7 linked regions of the Macaca mulatta genome follow. The protein of the gene in region 2 interacts with the protein of the main gene of each other region in a pairwise test. Links are inferred from orthologs where the notes say so. Each region holds a gene or a part of one and is shown on either strand. Other genes may lie near its edges. The genes, in order: SCEL, FXR2, PCBD1, NECAB2, NME1, FBP1 and LCP2.

What was found.
Region 1: the proteins of FXR2 (region 2) and SCEL interact in binary tests that used the Homo sapiens proteins (3 or more experiments, as listed by UniProt). The two-hybrid records come from large-scale screens. The link is inferred for Macaca mulatta from reciprocal best matches to the Homo sapiens genes FXR2 and SCEL.
Region 3: the proteins of FXR2 (region 2) and PCBD1 interact in binary tests that used the Homo sapiens proteins (3 or more experiments, as listed by UniProt). The link is inferred for Macaca mulatta from reciprocal best matches to the Homo sapiens genes FXR2 and PCBD1.
Region 4: the proteins of FXR2 (region 2) and NECAB2 interact in a two-hybrid assay, tested with the Homo sapiens proteins (2 studies listed by BioGRID and IntAct). The link is inferred for Macaca mulatta from reciprocal best matches to the Homo sapiens genes FXR2 and NECAB2.
Region 5: the proteins of FXR2 (region 2) and NME1 interact in binary tests that used the Homo sapiens proteins (3 or more experiments, as listed by UniProt). The link is inferred for Macaca mulatta from reciprocal best matches to the Homo sapiens genes FXR2 and NME1.
Region 6: the proteins of FXR2 (region 2) and FBP1 interact in binary tests that used the Homo sapiens proteins (3 or more experiments, as listed by UniProt). The two-hybrid records come from large-scale screens. The link is inferred for Macaca mulatta from reciprocal best matches to the Homo sapiens genes FXR2 and FBP1.
Region 7: the proteins of FXR2 (region 2) and LCP2 interact in binary tests that used the Homo sapiens proteins (3 or more experiments, as listed by UniProt). The two-hybrid records come from large-scale screens. The link is inferred for Macaca mulatta from reciprocal best matches to the Homo sapiens genes FXR2 and LCP2.

Annotation. Positions count from the first base shown.
Region 1 is NC_133422.1:72,337,079-72,341,148, reverse strand, and holds the start of SCEL (sciellin), read right to left. Parts: upstream 2,801-4,070; 5' UTR 2,566-2,800; intron 1-2,565. UniProt on the Homo sapiens protein: May function in the assembly or regulation of proteins in the cornified envelope. The LIM domain may be involved in homotypic or heterotypic associations and may function to localize sciellin to the cornified envelope.
Region 2 is NC_133421.1:9,095,700-9,099,199, forward strand, and holds part of FXR2 (RNA-binding protein FXR2), read right to left. Parts: intron 1,634-3,500; exon of another isoform or gene 1,557-1,633; coding exon of another isoform or gene 1,551-1,556; intron 1,332-1,550; coding exon 1,279-1,331; intron 920-1,278; coding exon 826-919; intron 1-825. UniProt on the Homo sapiens protein: mRNA-binding protein that acts as a regulator of mRNAs translation and/or stability, and which is required for adult hippocampal neurogenesis. Specifically binds to AU-rich elements (AREs) in the 3'-UTR of target mRNAs.
Region 3 is NC_133414.1:78,748,809-78,752,832, reverse strand, and holds the start of PCBD1 (pterin-4-alpha-carbinolamine dehydratase), read right to left. Parts: upstream 2,801-4,024; 5' UTR 2,776-2,800; coding exon 2,773-2,775; intron 2,461-2,772; exon of another isoform or gene 2,091-2,460; intron 140-2,090; coding exon 8-139; intron 1-7. UniProt on the Homo sapiens protein: Involved in tetrahydrobiopterin biosynthesis. Seems to both prevent the formation of 7-pterins and accelerate the formation of quinonoid-BH2. Coactivator for HNF1A-dependent transcription.
Region 4 is NC_133425.1:79,364,322-79,367,078, reverse strand, and holds the end of NECAB2 (N-terminal EF-hand calcium-binding protein 2), read right to left. Parts: intron 2,388-2,757; coding exon 2,310-2,387; intron 1,464-2,309; coding exon 1,372-1,463; intron 958-1,371; coding exon 929-957; 3' UTR 501-928; downstream 1-500. UniProt on the Homo sapiens protein: May act as a signaling scaffold protein that senses intracellular calcium.
Region 5 is NC_133421.1:58,843,836-58,847,162, forward strand, and holds the end of NME1 (nucleoside diphosphate kinase A), read right to left. Parts: intron 2,518-3,327; coding exon 2,416-2,517; intron 1,384-2,415; coding exon 1,271-1,383; intron 813-1,270; coding exon 695-812; 3' UTR 501-694; downstream 1-500. UniProt on the Homo sapiens protein: Major role in the synthesis of nucleoside triphosphates other than ATP. The ATP gamma phosphate is transferred to the NDP beta phosphate via a ping-pong mechanism, using a phosphorylated active-site intermediate.
Region 6 is NC_133420.1:128,832,751-128,836,967, forward strand, and holds the start of FBP1 (fructose-1,6-bisphosphatase 1), read left to right. Parts: upstream 1-1,417; coding exon 1,418-1,587; intron 1,588-4,217. Other genes in the region: uncharacterized protein LOC144334803, read right to left, coding at 1,000-1,155, 1,222-1,419. UniProt on the Homo sapiens protein: Catalyzes the hydrolysis of fructose 1,6-bisphosphate to fructose 6-phosphate in the presence of divalent cations, acting as a rate-limiting enzyme in gluconeogenesis. Plays a role in regulating glucose sensing and insulin secretion of pancreatic beta-cells.
Region 7 is NC_133411.1:179,132,062-179,135,561, forward strand, and holds part of LCP2 (lymphocyte cytosolic protein 2), read right to left. Parts: intron 3,001-3,500; coding exon 2,934-3,000; intron 2,817-2,933; coding exon 2,733-2,816; intron 1-2,732. UniProt on the Homo sapiens protein: Adapter protein primarily involved in signaling pathways within T-cells, as well as other immune cells such as platelets, mast cells, and natural killer (NK) cells.

The sequences.
Region 1 (4,070 bases), on a different chromosome or scaffold from region 2:
CTGTAATCCCAGCACTTTGGGAGGCCGAGGCGTGTATATCACCTGAGGTCAGGAGTTCGAGACCAGCCTGGCCAATATGGTGAAACCCCGTCTCTACTAAAAATACAAAAATTAGTCAGGTGCACACGTGTAGTCCCAGCTACTCGAGAAGCTAAGGCAGGAGAATCACTTGAACATGGGAGGCGGAGGCTGCAGTGAGCCAAGATCGTGCCATTGCACTCCAGGCTGGCAAAAAGAGCGAGACTCCATCTCAAAAAAAAAAAAAAGCAACAACAAAAATGACTTTTGATTCAGAAGTGAACTTGGAACAACTCCAGCTATGTATGCAGCAATTAATATATAAAAATCTTTATTTCAAAGTCCCTAGCCAGAGCAAATGGAAAATGATCAACAAATGGTCTAGAAGCAGGATAATGACAGAAAGTGAAGCCAAGTGAAACCAATAAAGATTTCCCTTGGACTGCAGGGCCAAAGATTTGATCCCCTCACTCTTAAGAAATGGTGGGAGTTGATGCCTGAACCATATAGGATGCTCTCAGTTAAACAATGTTTGCTTAAGTTGACTGCTTAGTTCATTCCACAGTATGAGCTCAGTCATTCAAAACATATTCTTTGTTTTGTTTACATAGTCCCCAGGAATATGAACCTCTCAGGTATTTCATCATAATTCTGGTAGTCTGAGAAGGCAGTCAGGTAAGCATCACCTACAGAATGGCATTCGGGGCGAGGGTGTTCTGATTGTACAGACCACAGCTAACACACATACATCAGATCCCCTCCCTGCTGAGGGGCTACTGGATCCTGAGATGAAAATCTCATAAATATAATAAATGGCAACACTGATTCCACAAGCCACAAGTTGGAAACATATGTCTACGTCTTCCATTATGTCTTAGTCACACCATACACAGTATAATATTTCCACATATTGCTGGATAACCACAGTCTGTGATGGAGTGTGGTTCGTTTATTGCTACTACATATTTTATAATAAAAAGTATTTGAAAAAAATATTGAGAAAATTCAGTAAGACAAAAGACAAGCAATTTGGCTTCATGTTCTGGTTCTGCTACTCTGATCTTCACAAGTTACTTAACATTTATGCTTTGTTTTTCTCATCTAGAAAATTCAGGCATTAGACTAGATGGGCCTATGCTCCATTTCAGTTGAAATATTCAGTCAATTAGATCTAAGATTTACACGAAGCTAACATTCCAATAAAAATTCTGACCTGTTGTTGGCATTCTCTGTATATCCCAACATTTAGGATCATCTGAATGTTTTACTAAAATTTTTACTGTTGTCATTTCTCAGTTTTCTCAAATTGATGTTTCTGATACTTTAAACACTGGAGCACTGCAAATATTAGGAAGGCTATATCTACGTTATAAACTGTGGAAGTGAAAGACAGTTTTAAATGTAATCACATTTTATGAAAAATAAAATTACCCACACATGCTATGCTTTAGTTTTCTGGTTACTATAAACACTTGAAAGCCAAGTTATAAAATTCTTCGGTAAACCTCTGGGAAATGAGCACTGAGCACTGGTGTGCCTAAACCCCTCTCAGACTGCAGGTGACCTGGTCAGCAATAGGAAGCCATGAGAACTCAAGTACTAAAGATAGAGCCAAGTATGCTGTGGGGGCGCCTCTCTGGAGGACACAGACCTGCAATTTGCAAGCTGTGAGTGGCCCCTGCATTTGAATTCCACAGCTCTGTATCATAAATAGAAATGATTAAAAAAAAAAAAAAACACAAACCAGACAAGTCAGCTTAACTATTAATTACAAAAGAACTCTTCTATCCTTACCAAAAGTCTCCCAAAACTGGTTTTTCAGGACTAGGCTATGAATAAAGTTTGAAAATTGCCCCCATATATATTAATCACTCCTTAGGTTAGAATGCAGAATATACTGTAGAGAAGTTGGCCAGATGCCCACAGATCATATATACCCCTATTCTGCCCCCACACCCTGCCTTTACTCCTTGGTACTTTCAAGTAAGAAATGGCAATTTTCTTATTTGGGGAAGATAGGGTGGAGACAAAAACCTCATAAAAATAAACCTCTCTCTCTCATAGCTCAACAACTTGCAATATTTTTAGCAGTAGAGAAAAAATATGACTTATTAACTATAAAGCAATATTTGAGTTCACTATTTCACTAAAAGCATCATTTATGAAAACAGAAAGTTCCTTTAAAAAATGTTTGTATAGTCACTTGAGAAAATAAACCAGCAGGTGCTGGTCCCTTCGCTTAAATAATTTATTATCCTTTGTGTGGCAGGATTCACCAGCTGACAGCTCCCACCCAGAAAATCAAATAGGTGCTCATTTCTGTGATGCCCGTAATGTGTAAAGTTGCCAAGAAGTTCAATGCAATGTGGCCTAAAAGTACAGCAAGGAAGAGCAGAGCTAACAGTCAGCTGGAGGCTGTCAAAATTTATAGGAAGAAAAGACAAAGATAATACTGTAAGTTCTAATTTTAATCATTTGAAAGGAACACAGAGAAAGCTGTGCACATACAGCAGATGTATTTCTGTTTGCAAGTATAATTCAACTTACCTCTATTGAGCAGAAAACCAGGACTTTTTGGCTAACCGGCCTGTAGTGATTCCCTGGGAGGATCTGACTGAAAGAAATGGGAACCTAGAGTTTATTCAGTGGAGTCTCAACCTCTACCTGACTGTATTAATGAACAGTTCAGAGGTTTCTTTCTCAGCGGCTGAGTCACTCAGGGAGGAGGTCTGTGGTATGCAACAGGGTGTCACCTTGTACAAATACCAGTTCAATTAAAACAGTCTCACTCGTGAACCTACGGCCTTTGTTTGGTGAATTCTTTAACTTACGGCCTTGTTATGCAAATATATATATATATAGATACGCTCCTGTGATTGCCCTTTAACTGATATCAACAATATGCACAACCATATCACTGACAAGGTGGCATAGGACCCAATCTATTTTGCATTCTCTTTCAAAAAATAAAACTGAAAACTCAATAGAAGGAACCCCCATATGCCCACAGTACCTGGAAGGCAGGGGCACAGACAAGCATGCAAGGAGTACATGGCTTAAAGGAAACTTCAAGACAAACAAGTTCTCAAAAACCCAGGAACCCTAGGATCAGAAAACACGAAAGAAGTCTGTTCCAAACATTCTACACCTAGAATATTTTGTAAAACTATCAAAGGGAAAATACACCCAGCACATAAGAATTCTAATCTCTATCTTATTTATCCATGTATAAAAAAATGTGAAAAAGGGCCAGGCGTGGTGGCTCATACCTGTAATCCTAGGACTTTGGGAGGTGGAGGCAGGCGGATCACCTGAGATCAGGAGTTCAAGATCAGCCTGGCCAACATGGTAAAATCCTGTCTCTACTAAAAATACAGAAATTAGCTGGGTGTGATGGCGCACACCTGTAACCCCAGCTATATTTAATAACAGTAACATACCATGATAAAGTCATAGACAGAAATTTTCAATGCCAGGCATCGCATAGGGGAGAGAAGGAAGAACCTGGAAGGTGATGTTGATGCAGAGTTTTAAAGTCTTAGTAGACAGTGATTAGATGGTCAAGAAGAACCATTCATCCACTCTGGCAGGAGGAGGCAGGAGAATCACTTGAACCAGGGAGGTGGAGGTTACAGTGAGCCAAGATTATGTCACTGCACTCTAGCCTAGACAACAGAGTGAGACTCTCTCAGAAAAAAAAAAAAAAAAAAAATGTGAAAAGGATGGTTGAAACTTCTCTCATAACTGAGGGCAGCAGTAGACCCAATGTCAAAGGTTGCTTCTGGCCAGTTGCAGTGGCTTTCATTTGCACTTTGGGAGGCCAAGGTGGGAAGATCACTGGAGCCAAGAAGTTTGAGACAAACCGGGCAACACAGTGAGAGAGATCTCATCTCTACTGAAAATAAAATATCAGCTGGGTGTGATAGTGCATGTATTTGTTCCCAGTTACTCAGGAGGCTGAGGCAGGAGAGTCTCTTGAGCATGGAAGGACCAAGCCACAGTGAGCTGTGATCACACCACCGCATTCCAGTCTGGGTGACAGAGTGAGACCC
Region 2 (3,500 bases):
GCGAGACTCCGTCTCAAAAAAAAAAAAAAAAAGAAAAAGACTAGCCTGGCCAACATGGTAAAACCTCGTCTCTGCAAAAATACAAAAATTAGCCAGGCATGATGGCAAGTGCCTGTAATCCCAGCTACTTGGGGGGCTGAGGTGGAAGAATTGCTTGAAACCGAGAGGTGGAGGTTGTAGTAAGCCAAGATTGCACCACTGCACTCCAGCCTGGGCAACAGAGCGAGACTCCATCTGAAAAAAAAAAAAAAAAAAAGCCGGGCACGGTGGCTCAAGCCTGTAATCCCAGCACTTTGGGAGGCCGAGACAGGCGGACCATGAGGTCAGGAGATCGAGACCATCCTGGCTAACACGGTGAAACCCCGTCTCTACTAAAAAGTACAAAAAACTAGCCGGGCGAGGTGGCGGGCGCCTGTAGTCCCAGCTACTCGGGAGGCTGAGGCAGGAGAATCGCTTGAACCCGGGAGGCGGAGCTTGCAGTGAGCTGAGATCCGGCCACCGCACTCCAGCCTGGGCGACAGAGCGAGACTCCATCTCAAAAAAAAAAAAAAAAAAAATCAGCGCACACTGGATTTTAGATGCTGTTACCACAAATGGAAGGCAAATCCCCTGAAACTGGGGATGTCCCTCAGAGTTTGGCTGATCATAACAGTGATGAAAGGGGAACTGTTGCATTTTACATTTCCACAGGCATGTAGCCTATGGAAATGACTTAGTGGCTGGATATGGTTTAGTTGGGGAGGAAGGAATATGAACCAACCAGAGAAAAGCCTAGAATCCTGGGAAAACGTGACATTTAGAAAGGGTGTACTCCACAGCCCTTACCTCCACTTCATCCCCTTCTGTGATCTCCTTATTATAGTCAGCTGGAGGTGGTAGTCGGACATCTCCAAAAGGAATTTGTCTCTCACTCTGCCAGCTGTAAGAGAAACAAGAATATGAAAAAGCTACTCTGACTGATACGGTTGCCCATTTCTTTACAAAAGGGTTATTGCCTCGGCTGGGCGATTCCCACCTATCTGGATAATCAGAGGCTAACCCCCAGGTCCTGCTCCATAGTGGTGCCATCCATCTCTTTCTAGACTCTAAATACTGGGCCAAACGCCCCCGCCCTCACCAAATTCTCAGCCCTTTCCTCTCCTGGGATCCATGTAAGTTCCCCACCCAAACCCTCAGGTCTCCCCACCTATTACATGCCTCATAGGACTCAGCCGCCCCCTCTTCTCCACTCTCCTTCTAGGACCTAGTATGCTGGATTCTCTATTCCCAAGGTCTTACTTGTTTTCAAAGAAGATGGTGACAGAGTCTTCATGGACATCCTTCACAAAGCCCTAGAATGGATTTTAGAAAAAAGTAAAAAATATAAAATGACCTTTTACTTCCACCTTAGCCACCAAGGGAATAGAGACACCACAAACCCTTAAACTTGAGTTTTAGATAGGGACACAAGTGGTGTAATGAGAGAGCCTGAAAGGCTGCACTGGGGAAAGAATATGGGCAGTCAGACAGAGAAAGGAAATTATATTGTCATGGAGAGGTGTATGTACCACCTGCATCAGAACAGCCTGGAAACCGGTGATCTACTCAGGCTCCCACAGGGGCCTCCCTATCTGTCTGCCTCCTGTTGTGCTGAGCAGCCTGCCAGAGTTCAATTAAAATACCAACAACATTCAGCAAGGCTAAGAATATCCCATGAGACAGTGTGAGGCTGTCCTGGAACACCTAGAGGACATGAGGATCTGTCAAGAGAGAGAAAGGCCTACCTCCGCAATACAGCAAGAGATCTGAGCAGACTCGCTGCCCTGATGCATGGGTCCTAAGACAATAATCAGAACACTAGACAAGTTCAAAATTGTGATGAACACAATTTACAGAAGGAAAAATTAAGACTTAAAATACATCAGAGTTTTTTAATACTAGAATTGAATCTAGAATGACACTGAAAATTTATAAAGGATAACAAAATGTATGGAAGACTCCAAACTTGATATTATGACAAGAGGAACAGGGACGACTGAACAGCTGATCCATCTCCTGTGGTCTATGTCCTCACTAAGGAGGCCAAAGCCATGAGTTCACCCCTGCGCTCCCAATTTTTCTACCTTCCCCCTATTTGTCACATACAATTAGGGATTTCTAATTTTGAAAAAGGTCTAGCTTATGAATTTATTATTTTATCAACTGTGCTTTTGGTTTCATATCTAAGAAATCTTTGCCCAGGCCAGGCACAGTGGCTCACACCTGTAATCCCAGCACTTTGGGAGACAAGGCAGGCCGATCATCTGAGGTCAGGAGTTCGAGACCAGCCTGGCCAACATGGTGAAACCCCATCTCTACTAAAAATATAAAACTTAGCCAGGCATGGTAGTGCATGCCTGTAATCCCAGCTACTTGGGAGGCTGAGGAAAGAGAATCACCTGAACCTGAGAGTCAGAGGTTGCAGTGAGCCAAGATCGTGCTATTGCACTCCAGGCTGGGCGACAAGAGCAAAACTCCATCTCAAAAAAAAGAAAAAAGAAATCTTTGCCTAATCCAAGGCCACAAAGGTTTTCCCTTATGTCTTCTTAAACTTTTAGTTTTTTGTTTTACATTTACATCTATACTCCTTTATTTTTAGACAGAGTCTCACTCTGTCACCCAGGCTAGAGTGCAATGGCACAATCTCTTGGCCCACTGCAACATCCACCCCCTGGGTTCAAGCAATTCTCCTGCCTCAGCCTCTCGAGTAGCTAAGGTTACAGGCAACCGCCACCATACCAGGCTAATTTTTCATATTTTTAGTAGATATGGGGTTTTACCATGTTGGCCAGGCTCGTCGCGAACTCCTGACCTCAGTTGATCCACCCGCCTCGGCCTCCCAAAGCTGGGATTACAGATGTGAGCCACTGTGCCTAGCCCTATAATCCATTTTGAATTAAGTTTTACATATAAAGTGAGGTATTGATCAACGTTTTTTAAATTTTTTAATTTTTATTTATTTTTTTTGAGACAGAGTTTTGCTCTTGTTGCCCAGGCTGGAGTGCAATGGTGCAATTTTGGCTCACCGCAACCTCCGCCTCCCAGGTTCAAGCAATTCTGCCTCAGCCTCCCAAGTAGCTGGGATTACAGGCATGTGCCACCATGCTCAGCTAATTTTGTATTTTTAGTAGAGACAGGGTTTCTCCATGTTGGTCAGACTGGTCTCAAACTCCCGACCTGATCCACCCGCCTCAGCCTCCCAAAGTGCTGGGATTACAGGTATGAACCATTGTGCCTGGCCTCTTTTTTTAAAACATATTTTTATTTATTTATTTTTTTTTTTTTTTGAGACGGAGTCTCGCTGTATCGCCCAGGCTGGAGTGCAGTGCCCGGATTTCAGCTCACTGCAAGTTCCGCCTCCCGGGTTTACGCCACTCTCCTGCCTCCCCCTCCCAAATAGCTGGGACTACAGGCGTCCGCCACCTTGCCCGGCTAGTTTTTTGTCCCGGCTAGTTTTTTGTACTTTTTAGTAGAGATGGGGT
Region 3 (4,024 bases), on a different chromosome or scaffold from region 2:
GCCATACCCTGTTGAAGTCTTTGAAATGAAACTGCTTGAAGATGGCATCGCGGCCTTCCAGCTCATTCCACCCCACGGCCCTCAGGTTTGGCAGCAGCTGGTCCCTCTCCTCAGCACTCAGCCTGTGTGCTTTGCCAGCCTAGAAGAGGGGAAAAAACGAGGCCCAAGAGCATTTCTTTTTATAGGTCAAAACAGGGGCTCCAGCCTTTAGGGGAACTTAGCCAGCCTCCACTGGCTGCTTTGGACGTGGGTGACCAAGGGCAGCAGGTCTTTGAGCAATAAGCTGGAAGCCCTCAAGGGTGGCACTCTGCCCAGGAGGTGGGGTCCAGGCTTGTCCGCTGATAGGCTCTCAGGTCTTGGGTTTTACACTCCACACAGAGAAAGGAAATCCCAAAAGCAATGCAATTCATATGACGGGGACAGAGACACTCTTCCCCTATCCTGCCCTCAAAGCCTTACAGACCTTCCCCTCCATAAGATCTATTACATCAGTGAGGGCGTAAAAGCAAAATAAATCCCAGATGCAAATATATTACTCCACAACCTCTGAGGAAGAGTACCATGACTGTCCCCCCTTCCTTTTCCTATTATGTACTTTATCATATGCACCCCACGTCCCTACGGTAACTTTCATGTGTATTGAAGAGCAAACAGGCCTAGAGAGGGGAAACGACTTGTCTGCTGTTCTTTCCTGCCCTCCCCTAGCCAGGGATGGCGCAGTGTTGTCTGTGTGTCAGCATCCCTGGGGCTGGACAAAGGAGCTGCATTTAAAATAAGTGTCCAGCCCATTCTTAGCCACACTGTAGCTGACCGTGTTGGCACTACCTCTAGTAGGTCCTCAGTCATGCTCCCAGGCAGCCTCTGGTCCTGAGCCGCCAGGGCTAGGTTCTCCGGTTTTCCATCTGCTTTTCTGGCTGGTTGGGAAGCTCAGGCCACAGAACTCAGTCCCCAAAGTGGAAGGAACTTGGCCAAAGGCAGCTGGCAAACCTAGTGCCCTGTCCTATTTACCTAATGTGCAAAGTGCCCTCAACGCAGCCCAAATTGGCACAATTCAGGCCATGAGTGGAACCTCAGAGAATGCAAGGAAGCAAGGGTCAGTTTCATCCTAGGAGGATCCAGGTCTAGGACCTTAACGGATCCCAGAACCTAGGCTTCTAGAGTAGCACCACCCAAGGGCAGAAATAGAGTGCTGAATTGAAAAGAAATACTTAGGGGTGAGGAGGGAATGTGAGGGAGGTTAATTTAGCTTTTATGAGGCAGCCTGCAGACTGAACACCATGTGTTGATTGGCAGGAAGTTTGAGCCCCGCTTTCACCATTTACCAGCCAGGTGGCTGTACCTCTCTTGGCAGAACCTCTACCTCCACAGATCATCAGGAGGTGCCAATGGGACACTTTAGGAAACTCCACTGCTATAAAGCAAATGTCATCTGCATTACAAAAAAATACCTCCTAAGGCAAGTAGGCTTGTGATGGGCCTGGTAGCATTTGTGGTAGCTGAAGCATCGCAGTGCTTTCCTAAGTCCGTCTTTTTTCCCTCCTGTTTCCCTCCTGAAAACGTGAGCTCTCTCCGGACTGAGGGAGCTTGGCCCCTCTCCTCTCCTCGGCTCTAGATGGCTACAGGGATTGAATGGCAGCAGCGATTTGCATCATCTGCCCAGTAGGGAGGTCTCTACTCCAGAGCTGGCCCTCTCCCCGTGGCTGACTGCCTGGTCCGTGTATCCAGACAACCAGAAGTCAGCCAAAGCATCAGAGCCCACTGTTTACTTCCTTGGCTCTTAAAGGGATGGGTGAGTCCAGGTGAGCTCTTAGGAGGCTTCCCTTTCTCGGTAGAGCCTTCTGGAACCCCCCAAGTCGCAGAGCCTGGGGCTGAACTGACAAATCTTCCAGGTGCCGGCTCTGGAGAGGGGGACGGTGCCCTGTTTGCTTAGTAAATCCCCGCCAGGTCTTGCCTCCTCTGGCGAGGTGTGGGGAGTGGTCGCCGATTTCCCAAGCCTGCATCTCTGGGGGCCTCAGCGCCCCTCACAAACAGCCCCACTCATCCTCCCTCCCCCAAGTCCCTCTCCCATCAAAAGGCCCTCCCAGTCTTGCCTGCTCCGAAGGCCTGTGGGCCAGAAACGGTCTGATGAAGCGCCCGAGCTTACAGCAGAGCAAGGGGCCCGCCCCCGCCCCGGGGGTAGGTGGGGGAAGCTAGCCCGGGAGGAGGGCTGCTCCTGCGCCACCAAGCCCCCGCGGCCGGGCACCGGCCTCAAACCGGCGCGGAGGCTGGCTCTGGAGCCCGGGACCGCACATGGGCTCAGAGCGTGAGTCCCAGGCGGACAGACCCTGTATCCAGAGTGCGAGCGGGAAGGGGCGCGGACGGGTACGCACAGGAGCGCGCAAACTCAGCCTGCCTCTCGCTCCCACCCCAGTATAAAGCCGAATCGGGCCACTAAGGGGACGAGATCTGCGAACTCTCCCACCACGGTCCTCCCCGGCCCTGTAAGGTCGTAGGCCCCGCCCCCAGCAGGGTCCGGGAACAAGCACTGGCCTGGGTCAGGGCAGGCCTGGCCTCCCAACTGGCTGGGACCGGGACCCGCCATGCCCCTCTCAGGGCCTCAGCTTCCCCTCCCCGCCGCCGGCGACAGGGACCCGGGCAGAGACCCCACTCTCGGACCCCGGCGGCTCCGCAGGAGGCTCGAAAAGACCCTCCCCCGCCCCGTCCCGCTCCCACCTCGCCCGCTGCTGCCCCGGCCCCGCTGCCCCGATCGCGGCGGCGCACCCCTGGACTCACCATGGCGCGGGCGGCAGCAGGTGGCCGGCGGAGAGGGCAGGCGGCGGCCGGGCGCGCAGGCGGCCGTCCCGGGGCGGGGCCGCGCTCGGACCGCCCTCCGGTAATGATTAACGTCCCCAGCCAGGGACGCGCTCGGCCTGCTTCCTTCCAGCACTTTCCTCGCTGCTCAGAGCCAATCCTCCGAGCTTGTTTCAGGGAGCTAGGGTGAAGCATGAGGGCTCCAAATGCCCACTTCAGGGTTGGAATCCCAGCCCGCCGCTTACAGCTGGGTGGCCCTGGGCGCCAGAATAACTATTTATTTCTTTATAAAAATCTTTTATTTGGATAGAATTGACATGCAATAAGTTGCACATATTCAACGTGTACAATTTGATGAATTTTAATGTTTCCCTCGTGAGACCGACACTGAGATCAAGATTATGAACATATCAAGTTTCCTTGATGACTAATGATATTGAATATCTTTTCATGTACTTATTTGCTAAGGATAAGTCTTTTTTGGTGAATAGCATGTTTGAATTTCCTGCCCATTAAAAAAGAAATTGGGTTGTTTGTTTTCTTACCGAGTTTTGAGGGTGTTTTTTTCTGGATATAAGGACATGATCAGGCAGTGCTTTTCAAATATTTTCTTTGAATTATCTTACGCTGCCTTTCAAAGAGCAAACGTTCTTAATTTTGATGAAATCCAATTTATCAAATGCTTCTTTGATAGATTTCTATTTTGATGTTGTACGCATAGAAATCTTGGCCTAACACGAGATCACAAAAGTTTTCTCCTATGTTTTAGAGCTTTGGGTTTTACATTTAGTCTGTGATCCACATTGAGTAAATATTTTTGTATGCTTCAAGTTATAGATCCAGATTCACTTTTGCACATGGAGATTCAGTTATTCCTTTCTCCACTGAATTGTCTTCGCACCTTTGTAAAACATCAATTGATTATATATGTGTGGGTTTATTTCTGAGCCCTTTCTTCTGTTCCATTGATCTGTTTGTCCATCATGACAGGACGCTACCTTGTCTTGATTATTATAGCTTTATAATAAGTCTTAGAGTCAGGTTAGAAAAGTCCTCTCACATTTTACATTTTTTCTGTTACCTTTTATTCTTGTACTCCATTTTTATTCCCCCCCGCCCGCCGCCACGGCCCATAGCAGCCTCTCTAATGTGTTAATGTGTATTTTTGTTTGCACACGTTCTTGCAAAATGTGTGGTGTTGTTTCGTCTATATGTATTTTTAAATTTATGTAAA
Region 4 (2,757 bases), on a different chromosome or scaffold from region 2:
GCCCGTCCCTGGAGCATCGTGCCTGGTGAGTGTCTTAGTTGGGCCACACTGCGTGGTCTGTGCCAACCATGTGACTTATGGTGGGGGCTTGAGCCACAAGGTGTCAGCCGTGTCTATGTCACCGAACCCCAGTAAGACTTGGGACTGCATCCCTGGTTGGTGATGCTCTGTCTGTTGAAGCTGGGAGGGTTCAGTGATGTCTGTGGCCTTTACTGGCAGCCCCTGCCTGGCCCCTGTTCCGGGAGCCTCTTTCTTTGCTGGATTTTGTCTGTCATCCACCTTGACTTTGACAGTTGCGCCCAGTCCTCTGAGTGAATTACTGACCTGAGGGTGGGGGTGGTGCCCTCTGGGCTCCTGAATAGGCATGAGCCTATGTGTCAAAATACCGCATAGAGTGAACACCTCCATTTTATGGTTCAGAAAACGGAGGCTGGGGGCACTTGCAGGGTGCCCAGGCCCCTGCTGCTGTCAACCAGGAACAGACACAGAGCACACAGCCCTTCCCAACCAGGGTTTATTCGGCGCCTGGGCCCAGTGGCGGCGGCCTGGCTAGGTTGGGCACTACAGGGTCCTAACTCCTACCAGGTAGAAGAATGTCACTGAAGAGGGCAGGGCGTGGTGAGTGCGGGTCATGCGTGGCCGTCTGAGGGGTCGGGGAGAGGCCAGGACCAGGAGGTGGGGGTGCTGGCCCCAGGAAGCCGCCCCCTTCACCCACAACCTTGGGCTTCACCAGGACCGGGCAGCACAGAGACTGCTCTGCCTTCTCGGGTGGGGGCAGGGGAGGCCTCCTTCACGTCACAGCAGGGAAACACCGTGTGGAAGACGGGTTGAAAAGACAGCCTCTGCACCAGTTTCTAGAACACAGGGGATGTCCTTCACAAGCAGAAGGGGCCAGGGGTGGGCTCCTCCGCGGGCCTCTGGGAGGCTGTCAGTCCCGTCCCACCGTGCACCAAACAGCTAGAAGGACAGAGACAGGTTAGAGGGAAGGAGTGCGAATGTGGGTAGCTGGTGGGGGCCGTCTTGAAGGGCAGGTGGGGAGATGGCTTTGAGTCCTTATGTGACCCACGGGTGCTTGCTGGTCACCCAGGAGCAAACCACACACCTGGGAAGGGAAATTCAGTCTGGCTAGAAGTAGCGGGCTGTGGAAGGGGTGCTCTGGTGCAAGCTCCGGCCGGCATGCCTGGATGTGGGGCCACCTCAGGGCTGGCTCTGAGCCTGGAGCTCTCCTCTCCCCCTAGGACCCTCCCTGCACACCTGGCATTGGGGTCAGGAGCTTGCAGGCAAGTCCCTGGGAGAGGCGGGGTGGCTTCTAGGCTCTTGCCCGGCTCTCCAATCAAGTGGCCACTGCAGTTCCAGGCCTTCGCCCCCTACCTGGCACCGAGATCCTGGAGAGGGCCTCAGGCTGGCTCAGTGTGTCCACCTTGACGTGCCGGAACGCCTTACACACGGGACTTTGCAGGTGCCTGCGATCCAGGGAGATGTGTTAGGGGCACCAGGAGTGGAGCTTGGCATGTGGATCCCCTGTTAATCCTAGCTCTGCCCAAAATGGGGAGCTTATAAATAAGCCCGGGGGGGGGGGTCTTTGGACTCCAAGCCTTTGTGGGAAGGTGAGGGGGTGCCTAGGGAGGCTGACTCTGGGGTAGGCACTGAGCCTTACATGGGCAGTGGCATCCCCCTACTCAGTGCACAGAGCATCGACCTCCTGTTTTACCCTAGGAGGAGGAGTGGGGCCATCCTCCGCCTGGGACGGATGACAACACAGCAGCTGTGAAGGGTTTTAGTCCCTCATTTTATGAGTCACTGAAGTACGGACAGGCAGGGGACACCCTCACTTCTCATGACAGCCCCTGTTCCCACAGGGGTCCTGAGTTTCTCTGCAAACTGTGTTTACCGGGGAAGCAGGATATCGGGGCATGAGCTACCCCCAGGCCCTGCTTCCTGCCTGTGGGGTCTGGCGCATCAGAAATTAGGCTCCGCCCAGAGTGGGGAACAACCTGTCCCAGATGTGCTTGGAGCAGACGACAAAGGCCTAAAGCCCATCAGAGCTGATGACACCCTACCCCATCTCCCTCCCTCCTACAAGGCACTCAGCTGGGGGGGAGGTTAAGCGCTGGAACAACTGATCACATGGGGACTGAGGTACCTTCTAGGTCAGGTCCTCAGCTCTACAGGGTGATAAAGAAGGCAGTGCCTTGGCCCACAAGGTGCTCTACAGGGAAAGAGCGTGGTGGGGGGTCTCTCTACCCACCAGGAGCTCCTGGCTCCAGGAAGACAGCCCCCACACCTGCTATGGAGACCCAGTGTCTCACCTCTTCCATGCCTCCTCCGTCTCCCAGAACTCATAGATGACAAAGGTGAAGCCATCCGAGAGCCTCACGGCAGTGATGCTGCAACAGGAGACAGACAGGCAGGGAGGCTGGGGCTCAACCGTGGCCACCCTAGTCCTGTAGCCCACCCCTATACACAACCGCTGCCTTCAACCTTTCTGGTCCTCCAGCGAGACTCAACAGGGTGCCCCCACCACCTGGAACAAGGCCTGGTTTCTTATAGTGGCCAATAGCTATTTGTCAATGACATGTAGTTTTTCTTTTGAGACAGGGTCTCACTCTGTTGCCCAGGCTGGAGTGCAGTGGCACAATCACTTCAGCCTCCCAAGTAGCTGGGACTATAGGTGTGCACCACTTGGCCTGGCTAATTCAAAAAATGTCCTAGTAGAGCTGGGGTCTTGCTATGGTCCCCACGCTGGTCTTGAACTCC
Region 5 (3,327 bases), about 50 Mb from region 2:
GTCAGTGTCTTGCTGTGTTGCCCACGCTGGACTTGTACTGGCCTCTAGCGATTCTTCCCCTCAGCCTCCTGAATAGCTGGAATTAAAGGCATGAGTCATTGTACCCAGCCTAATTTTTTTTTTTTTTTTTTTTTTTTTAGTGAGACAGGGTCTTGCTCTGTTACCCAGGCTAGTCTCCCACCTCAGCCTCCCAAGTAGCTGGTATCACAAGCACAAGCCAGCACACCCAGCCCTCATGTATTATTTCTGATGAATCCTCTGCACCTAGTCCAGTCTTGGCCATGTAGCAGATGCTCCATAGATGCCTGTTGAGTAGCTCCATGCCAAGAGTGGAAGGGACGCAGGGGTTAAGAAGGGCAGGCAAAGAATGCCTGTGTGTATGTGAGATCTCAATATAAATAATTTTTATAGTATTTACATTCTCTATTAGGTCAGGTTATTCAGTGTACATGAAAAGAAGAAAAAAAAATACAACAATACAAAGTAACCAACTCAATGAATCCTAAGTTGGGAGGAAGCATTTTAATCAGATGGTAGGGGATGGTAACACTGTACAGGGAGCACTCACAGCTCCAAGAGCTTCCTTCCAAATTATGACGAAGTTCCTTTAAATAACTAGATTTCCTAGAGCCTGGTCCTCTGCCCATGGGAAGGAGGAGAAATGGATGTGAAAGCATTGTAGCCTGCTCTCCTGTCATTCATAGATCCAGTTCTGAGCACAGCTCATGTAATCTACCAGTTCCTCAGGGTGAAACCACAAGCTGATCTCCTTCTCTGCACTCTCCACGGAATCACTGCCATGTATAATGTTCCTGGGTGGAGAAAGAGATAGTCACATGACCAAGACCAGAAGGATTAAAATGCGCCCATTGCCAGAAATCTACAGCCACGGCAGCATAAAAGCTGAAGCTCCATGGACATTAGACCATGTTAAAAGAAAAAGCCTACAATGGCCATTCATGTAAGGGTGAAAAATGCCCTCCCCACATTCAGCCCTCCCGGTCACACTGGTGCAAACAGTAAGAGCCTTCAGGAAAGACTGTGGCCAGCAAAGTGTGTTGTACCAGGTTCTACACTTCGTGTAACGGAGGTACAACTACAGTGATTTTAAAAACCAAAGCCAAACACCAACTTAAGGGGGAGGAAAACAATAAACTCCGATAAAATCAACCTGCATATGGTATCATGTCTACCTCCAGCCTCAAAAACCCAAATCCTTGTGGCAACTAAATCAGATTTTGGAAAAGGGGGAAAAAGAGCAAAATCTCACCTGCCAACTTGTATGCAGAAGTCGCCACGGATGGTCCCAGGCTTGGAGTCCGCAGGGTTGGTCTCCCCGAGCATGACTCGGCCTGTCTTCACCACATTCAGCCCCTCCCAGACCTCCAAGGACAGAAGAAGATATGGTCAAAGAAGAAAACCCATCTCAGCAGAAAATCTGGCAACTATTAATCCAAAAATAGGAAAAAATAAAAAGGCCCCTTAAGATGACATTCATTCACTGAACAAATATTTAGAGTATCCACTTATTCCGGCACTAGGGATCCTGGTCTCCCTGCCCTGATGCTTGCCTTTCTACAATGTACTCTCCATTCAGCAACCAGAGCAGCCTCCTTAAAATGCCAAGTGTGGGCAGGGCGCGGTGGCTCACACTTGTAATCCCAACACTTTGGGAGGCTGAGGCGGGTGGATCACGAGATCAGGAAATCATGACCATCCTGGCTAACACAGTGAAACCCCGTCTCTACTACAAATACAAAAAAATTAGCCGGGCGTGGTGGTGGGCACCTGTAGTCCCAGCTACTCAGGAGGCTGAGGCAGGAGAATGGTGTGAACCCGGGAGGCGGAGCTTGCAGTGAGCCGAGATTGTGCCACTGCACTCCAGCCTGGGTGACAAAGCGAGACTCCATCTCAAAAAAAAAAAAAAAAAGGCCAAGTGTGAAGTGTCCCATAGCTTCCCAGCACTCAGGAACTACATGGTCAACACACCCCTAAGAGAGGAGGCCCCTGCCCATGCCTCTGAACTCTTCACATCCCAACTTCTCTCCCACCCATCAGGCTTCGGGCATTTCAATTCTCCTCCCATACTTCAAAACGCCAAGCTCATTCCCACCCTGGGACCTTTGCACATGCTGTTTGCTTGGCTGGAAATGTTTTTCACTGTGATTCTGTACATAGCTGGCTGCTTCTTGTCATTCAGATCACAGCTTAAAATTTGCATTCTTTGATCATCCATTCTAAAGTGATCACTTGCTACTCCTATTCATTTCTGGGCCTATCACTAACCATTAGCTGATATATGAAAATAGATATCTATTTGGTCTCACTCATGACTGTATCCCCAGTGTCTAGAAGAGAGCCTAGCGCAGACGACAAGCAATGCATACTTGGAGTATCTCACACAGGCACACTCACCATGGCAACTACCGGCCCTGAGTGCATGTATTTCACCAGGCCGGCAAAGAACGGACGGTCCTTCAGGTCAATGTAGTGTTCCTTGAGAAGGTCTTCAGAGGCCTATTCAACAGGACGGAGAATGAGAATGGCCCCAAACCATCTAAGAACATACAATCCATGTAAATTCCCCTCATCCACCCTGCTATGTAAAACATGAGTGGTTGGGCTCACTGATTCTGTTATAACCCAATTCATTCTCCACACTGGAAGGGAGCAGTGACAGGACTAAAAGTACTTCTCCAATTTTATATCAATTGTCTCCCTATTGGCATTGACTGATAATAAAACCACAGAACATTAAAATTAAATTCAGCTATCTCATTTTTAAAAAACTCAAACTCCTGGGCTCAAGTGTTCCTCCTGCCTCAGACTCCCAAATAGGTAGGACTGTAGACACACACTACCAGACTTGGCTAATTTTTAAAATTTATTTATTTATTTTGAGACAGAGTCTCCCTCTGTCATCCAGGCTCGAGTGCAGTGGCGCGATCCTGATTACTGCAACCTCCACCTCCCAGGTTCAAGTGATTCTCCTGCCTCAGCCTCCCAAGTAGCTGGGATTACAGATGCCCGCCCACCATGCCCAGCCAATTTTTGTATTTTTAGTAGAAACAGGGTTGTTGGCCAGGCTGGTCTCAAACTCCTGACCTCAGGTGATCTGCCTGCCTCGGCCTCCCAAAATGCTGGGACTACAGGCGTAAGCCACCACGCCCAGCCATACCTGGCTAATTTTAAAAAATTATTTGTAGAGATAAGGTCTCACTATGTTGCCCAGGCTGGTCTCAAACTCCTGGACTCAAGTGATCCTCCAGCCTCGGCCTCCCAACGTGCTGGGCTTACAGACGTGACCCACCATGCCTGGCCCTCAAC
Region 6 (4,217 bases), on a different chromosome or scaffold from region 2:
GCAGGTGGACAGGGGGGCAGCACGGGCAGGTGGACAGGGGGGCAGCACAGGCAGGTGGACAGGGGGGCCAGTGACAGGACGGGCAGGTGGACAGGGGGGCCAGTGACAGCACAGGCAGGTGGACAGGGGGCCAGTGACAGCACAGGCAGGTGGACAGGGGGGCAGTGACAGGACGGGCAGGTGGACGGGGGGGCAGTGACAGGACGGGCAGGTGGACAGGGGGGCCAGTGACAGGACGGGCAGGTGGACAGGGGGGCCAGTGACAGGACGGGCAGGTGGACAGGGGGGCCAGTGACAGCACAGGCAGGTGGACAGGGGGCCAGTGACAGCACAGGCAGGTGGACAGGGGGGCAGTGACAGGACGGGCAGGTGGACAGGAGGGCAGTGACAGGACGGGCAGGTGGACGGGGGCCAGTGACAGGACGGGCAGGTGGACAGGGGGGCAGTGACAGGACGGGCAGGTGGATGGGGGGGCAGTGACAGCACAGGCAGGTGGACAGGGGGGCAGTGACAGGACGGGCAGGTGGACAGGGGGCCAGTGACAGGACGGGCAGGTGGACAGGGGGGCAGTGACAGGACGGGCAGGTGGACAGGGGGGCAGTGACAGGACGGGCAGGTGGACAGGCCTGGGCAGGGGCCGGGCAGGAGGCCGCGCGGGCGGGTCTGCGGAGCGGGGGCTGCTGGGGGTTTCGCTGCCCAACTGGGGCGCTGAGCAAGTTACTCAACCTCTGTGAACTTCCGCGTCATGATTGTGGAGGAAACTCCGGCAAAGAAACAGCTTTTCTCTCCGGCGGGTCCGACGGCCCGAGCCCCGCCCCGCAGCGCAGATGGAGGGCGCGGAGGCTGCGGGGGCGGCGCGGGGAGGGTCCGAAGATCCGGCGGGCGGAGCCGCGGGCTGGGCGGCGGGAGGCGGCGCGGGGTGTTCCCGGGGGTGGGGGCGGGGCCGACCCGCGGCTAAAGGTTCCCGGTTCACCCGCCCGCGCCGGGCCTGGCCCAGTCTCACCGCGAGCGCCGCGGACACTCGGGGCCGCAGTCGGTCTGTCCGTCCTCCCGCCAGGTCCCGCCCCGCACCTGCCCCCGCACCTGCCCCCACACCTGCCCCCGCACCTGCCGCCGCACCTGCCCCCGCACCTGCCCCCGCACCTGCCGCCGCACCTGCCCCCGCACCTGCCGCCCCGCACCTGCCGCCCCGCACCTGCCGCCGCACCTGCCGCCCCGCACCTGCCCCCGCACCTGCCCCCGCACCTGCCCCCGCACCTGCCGCCGCACCTGCCCCCGCACCTGCCCCCGCACCTGCCGCCGCACCTGCCCCCGCACCTGCCCCCGCACCTGCCCCCGCACCTGCCCCCGCACCTGCCGCCCCGCACCTGCCCCCGCACCTGCCGCCGCACCTGCCGCCCCGCGGCCCGGCCCCAGCATGGCTGACCAGGCGCCCTTCGACACGGACGTCAACACCCTGACCCGCTTCGTCATGGAGGAGGGCAGGAAGGCCCGCGGCACGGGTGAGCTGACCCAGCTGCTCAACTCGCTCTGCACGGCCGTCAAAGCCATCTCCTCCGCGGTGCGCAAGGCCGGCATCGCGCACCTGTGAGTCGCCTCGGGCGGGGCCCGTCTGTCTGTCTGTCTGTCTGTCCGTCCGCCCGGGGAGCCTGTCCGGCGCTGGGCCCTCTGGTCCTCCTGCGTCAGCCTCTGTCTGTCCGTCTGATGTCCGGGCGCCTCTCTCGCTCTGCGTCTGGTGGCCCCTCTCTGCGGAAGCTGGCTCAGCCTCACTCAAGTTCTCACCCCCTCCCTTGACCTTGGAGGGGCCACCTGGGGGTCCGTCTCGCAGGTGCACGCCGGATTCCATCCTCGTGCCCCTCTCAGCCGGCACCTGGCCTGCCCGTCATACCCGCCCTGGCCTCAGACAGGAAGTGCTGGCTCAGGTGCCTTCCGTCCCCATCTCTTCTTTCTCTCTTTCTGTGATGAGGCGCCCAAGTCAGGTTTCTAGTCCAGTATCTCTGACCCGAAACGAGGCTTGTTAGGAGCGAGTGTCCCCCTCCCAAGCAGGCTGGAGGTCTCCTGTGTGTCCAGAGCCTTTAGGAGCAGCAGCCTGGTGTGCAAAGGAGCTCCCGTGGGCTGCCCCTTGCTGGGACCGTTGCCATGCTGTGCCAGAAAGAGGAAACACCCAGGGCTTCAAAACCCTTATCCATTTGCAATGACGGTGTGTGCAGCCCCCACCCAATTAGTGGAAAGCTCAAAAGTTGTTTGTAGAATGGTTTCGAATGCTCTGTGGGGTGCATCTCGAACGTCACTGGGCACCGGAATCATTGGGGATCTTGGTAAGACGTGTGCCCTCTTTCCGTCGCTCTGGGACGGGTCCTGAGATTCGGCATTTCTGAGAAGTCCTCCTGTGGTGGATGCTGCCGGTCAGATACTGTGTGTCTGCTGATCTCATTGTGAGTAGCAAGGGGTCAAGGCGAGGGGAGACTCAAAGGACCCCTTCTTGTGAGGTTTTTGTAAGTCACACAACATCCTTTCGTTTGTGTTGGTGTGCACAGGTATTTTCTTTTTCTTTCCTTTCTTTCTTTTCTTTTCTTTTCTTTCTTTCTTTCTTTTTTTTTTTTTTTTGAGACGGAATTTTGCTCTTGTTGCCCAGGCTGGAGTGCAATGGTGCGATCTTGGCTCACCGGAACCACTGCCTCCCGGGTTCAAGCGATTCTCCTGCCTCAGTCTCCCAAGTAGCTGGGATTACAGGCATGTGCCACCACGCCCAGCTAATTTTGTAATTTTTTTTAGTAGAGACGGGGTTTCTCCATGTTGGTCAGGCTGGTCTCGAACTCCCGACCTCAGGTGATCCGCCTGCCTCGGCCTCCCAAAGTGCTGGGATTACAGGCATGAGGCACCGTGCCCAGTCGTGCACAGGTGTTTTCTAGCTAACTGATCCACACTTTTAACTAAAGGGTAACTGGGTTTTCAGATTGTCCATACACCTTCCTAACATTTCCTGCACTTACGTACGCTATAAAAATGACACATGATGGACCGGGCGCGGTGGCTCACGTCTGTAATCCCAGCACTTTGGGAGGCCAAGGCGGGTGGATTGCCTGAGGTCAGGAGTTCAAGACCAGCCTGACCAACATGGTGAAACCCCGTCTCTATTAAAAATACAAAAATTAGCTGGGTGTGGTGGTGTGCGCCTATAATCCCAGCTACTCGGGAGGCTGAGGAAGGAGAATTGCTTGAACCCTGGAGGCAGAGGTTGCAGTGAGCCAAGATCGCACTATTGCACACCAGCCTGGACGACAAGAGTGAGACTTCATCTCAAAACAAAAGACACATGATGCTCAGAGCTGACCTGAACAAATATAATCCCACTACTTTGGTTTGGAATGCATGTCTCCATTTTTAAAATCTCTTCTCCGCCCCCCATCCTGCAATCTAGATTCCTCTTCTTACTGGGAGGCTGTCTGGCGTTGGTCCCACAGTATGGATTGGCGGAGATCATTCATGTAAAGGAGTTGTATGATCACATTTATTTTTGAATATTAAGCAGACATGTTAAGGAAGGCGATGACTCCATTGCTGTTGCCTCTGGCCCCTCTTAATAATACATTCCTAAGGATTCTTACTTTAGAAACACACCCAGGTGAAATCTTATTCAAGCTTTAATTTACAGCTATTATAGGTGGCTCACAGCTTTAACTGCCTTTGAGGACCAGGGATATATTTTAAAAAGAGGGCTGTCGACTGGGTGCTCACACCTGTAATCCCAGCACTTTGGGAGGCCGAGGCAGGTGGATCACCTGAGGTCAGGAGATGGAGCCCAGCCTGGTCAACAAGGTGAAACCCCGTCTCTACTAAAAATACAAAAATTAGCCAGGCATGGTGGCGGGTGCCTGTAATCCCATCTACTTGGGAGGCTGAGGCAGGAGAATTGCTTGAACCCGGGAGGCGGAGGTTGCAGTGAGCCGAGATTGTGCCACTCTACTCCAACCTTGCGACAGAGTGAGACTCTGTCTCAAAAAAGTAAGTCTCAGAAAAGAAAAAAAAAAGGGCTTCTCATGTCTGATAGCTTAAAAAATGGTCAGTACCTGTCACACTCCTAGAGAGACTTAGAAATGTAAGATGTGTTTTGAAGTGTCCCACTTCCTAAGTAACCTTAGATAGTGGGACCTCAGATAGTGAGATTTTGATAGTAGGGCCTGGATGAAGCATGCTAATTTTGGCTACAGAAGATA
Region 7 (3,500 bases), on a different chromosome or scaffold from region 2:
GATTCTGTGCGAGGTTGGCTGCTGAAACTGCCTGCTGTAACCTGAAACCACTTTTATCTGGTAGTTGCTGAAATAATCTGCTGCCACTTGAAGATTAATTTGCCCTCTGCCATCGCTCACCAATCAAAACTTGCCAGCCCCCCAGAACCATGAACTTTCTCTCTTTTTTTCTTTTTATTTAGACAGAGTCCCACTCAGTCGCCCAGGCTGGAGTGCAGTGGCGCGATCTCGGCTCACTGCAAGCTCCGCCTCCCAGGTTCACGCCATTCTCCTGTCTCAGCCTCCCTAGTAGCTGGGACTACAGGCGCCCGCCACCATGCCCGGCTAATTTTTTTGTATTTTTTAAGTAGAGACAGGGTTTCACCATGTGAGCCAGGACGGTCTCAATCTCCTGACCTCGTGATCCTCCCGCCTAGGCCTCCCAAAGTGCTGGGATTACAGGCATGAGCCACGGCGCCCGGCTATAACCAATGAACTTTGTCAATGAGCGATATGTAACACTTCTCTTTTCAATAAAACCTCCAATCTTCTTTATGTTCTTCAGACATACTGAAGACCCTGAAGACCAATTGCCCCAAATTGCAATTCTTTCTTCCTAAATAAAACAAATTTAGAGATTTGCCTCTACGTTTTTATTTTGACTTTGATATGGTCATATGGGCTGACGATTGTTAGTGAACTCGCCTTTCTTTCCCTTCCTTCCACACCCAGGCGCAGCTAATGCCCCATGGCGAATGGTGTGGAGTTGTATTTTCACAACATGATTTATTCTTTAAGGACCAAGAATATGCCAGGCCCATGATAAGAATATTGCCTCACTGTGAAGAGCTTACTGGCACTGAGTGTGGTGGCTCATGCCTGTTGGGAGGCCAAGACAGGAGAATCACTTGAGGCCAGGAGTTCAAGATCAACCTGGTGAATACAGGGAAACCCCAGTCTCTACAGAATATTTAAAAATTAGCCAGTCATGGTGGCATGCACCTGTAATCCCAGCCCTCTGAGAGGCTGGAGAAGGATTGCTTGACCCCAGGAGTTTGGGGCTGTAATGAGCTATGATGGTGCCATTGCACTCCAGCCTGGGTGACAGAGTGAGACCCTGACTCAAAAAAAAAAAAAAAAAAAAAAAGGAACTTGCTGGTAGTGGGAGAGTTTTGATGGTATAAAAGCTGTTTATGAAACTTTGCTTTGGGGTGGAACCTCTAATAAGTATGTTAAAATTTGCCAATTTTTGCATATTCTCTGAGTACGTTAAAAGTCTCATGTGGAGTGTAAACATTTTAAGAAGTCAGTAATCCTTCCAAAACATCACAGAAAAGGGACTAATTCAAGGGTAAAACAGAAATTGTCAGAAAAGTGTGTCTTTTAAAAATGTTTTTAAATATAGAAAAAAAGAATCTTTTAAAATAATAACTTTTGTGTCAGGAGGGGATTGTGAAGGATTTGATGTCAGTGTTCCACTTTTCTGATGTCTTGGCTCATGGCAGTGAGCAGGGTTGGAATCTAAAGTCAAATCTGTCTTCATTTCCATGTAATTACACAGCTCTCTATAGCAGATGATTCCAAGCCAAAACAGCCAGCATAGGTTTGCATGACTCAGCAGAGCTGTGATGTACTTCGGGGAAAGAGCAGTGAGCAGCAGCCTCAAATCCAAGAACTGAAAGTCATTTTGCTGACAGACAAAAAGGGATTGAGGCCACAGAAAGCTAAATGCCTGGCTCAGAGCACAGCCAAGAAAGGGGTGAGGGGCAGCTGGGATTCTGAGCTCCTTTCCGTTCAGTTACAGAGTTCCTTCCTCAGACTCATGTAGTTCACAGCAAGTTAAAACCCAGGGTCCTCAACTGCAGCGTGATATGGTGGAAAAGAGCCCCCACTTAGAAGTCAGAAAGACGAGGGTTCAAATTTAGGCAAATTATTCAACTTCTTTGACCCTTAATTTTATCATCTGAGAAGTGAGGATAAAAATGCATGTCCTTTGTTGAGTTGGTGTGAGGATTAGAGATACTGTAGGTGTATTCGCAGTATGTAGAGCACTTGCCCCACAGTAGTTGCTCAATAAATGGTAGCTAAGTTTTAGAATTGAATTGAAAATAGCTCCCCATGAAGGTAACTGCAATCCAAGAATATTCCGTGTAAATTGTGAAGAAAAAGGACTGTGGTATACCCAAGTTTGGTCAATTGTGTACCTAAAACCAAAACATCCCTGACATTTGAATAGCACCTTAGGGATTTTATAAAGCATTTTCTATGTACAGAACATCCACCTTACAGATTAGGAGATTGAGCCCTGAAAAACTAACATCCCAGTGGTCTGTGAGCTACTAAGTAGCAGGCAAGGCAGCAGACACCAGCTCCCCTAACCCCCTTGTCTCAATTCAGATCCTCTCTCTGTACCCCAAAGCCTCTTGGCTGAAGGACAATGGGATTTCTGTACACAGATCACACACATCACATAGAGAAGCAGCACCACCCCCAGGAGCAGAGAGCAGGAGCTTTCTAATGAGGCAAATCTGGGTTTAGGTCTCTACTCCCATCACTTGGTAGCTGTGTGATCTTGGGAAGGTACCTCTTTGTGTTTCAGTTTCCTCATCTGTAAAATGAGGATGATTCTACTAGTCTCCATTTCCTAGTATTGTGGCCATAGTTACATGAGATGGTGCATGTGAAATGCATGCAGGAAGCACTTTATAACAGCTTATCATTATTACTATGCATTAAATGTGAATCATACCCACCTAGTGTGAAGGGTTCTCTGTCAAACGGAGCTAATGAACGATCTAAGGGAGGTTTGGTGCTTCTGTCTATTGAAGGAGCAGGGACTGGAAGGGGAAAAGGCTGACATCAATGAAAAGAAGAAAGCAGTCGGCTGGGGATGGGGTGGGGCTAGGGGAGTGCCTGGTGGGAACAGGGCAAGAGAGAGCAGCCCTTGTACTCACGCTTTGCCGTTTTGTGGTTTCTGCTTCTGCTGGGTTCTTCGTGGTTGGTCTGGGGTGGTGGTAGTGGCTGCATAAAGATCCAAACGTTAGGAAGCATTTCCAATACATCAGCAAGACCTGGCACTCCCAAAACCTGTCTGGATCTGCTCACTTTTCCTTATCTTCATGTTCTGCCTAAAAACATCCATGACCATTTCTTCCCTGAACTACTGCAGTAGCCTCCTATCTGAGCTCCCTGTTCTAGACTCTGCCACGTAAGCTCTTTTCTGCAGGCAGCGGAGTGAGCATGTCACTTTCCTGATAAGACTTCCAGTGGCTCCTACCACATTAGAAACAAAATTAAAACTCGGTAATGTCCTGCAAGGCCCTGCCTGAGCTGGCCCACGTCTGCTCTCTCAACTCTTTCCTGTGATCCCTTCTCAGTACCCATGGGGTCTCCACCTTAGAATCTTCTTGCAGTTCTTGGAAAATCTCAAGGTCATGCCCTCTTTGGCATCCCTACACTTGTTTCCCTCTGCCTAGAATGTTCTTCTCCCAGCTCTTCCTACAACTGGCTCATTCTGTCCC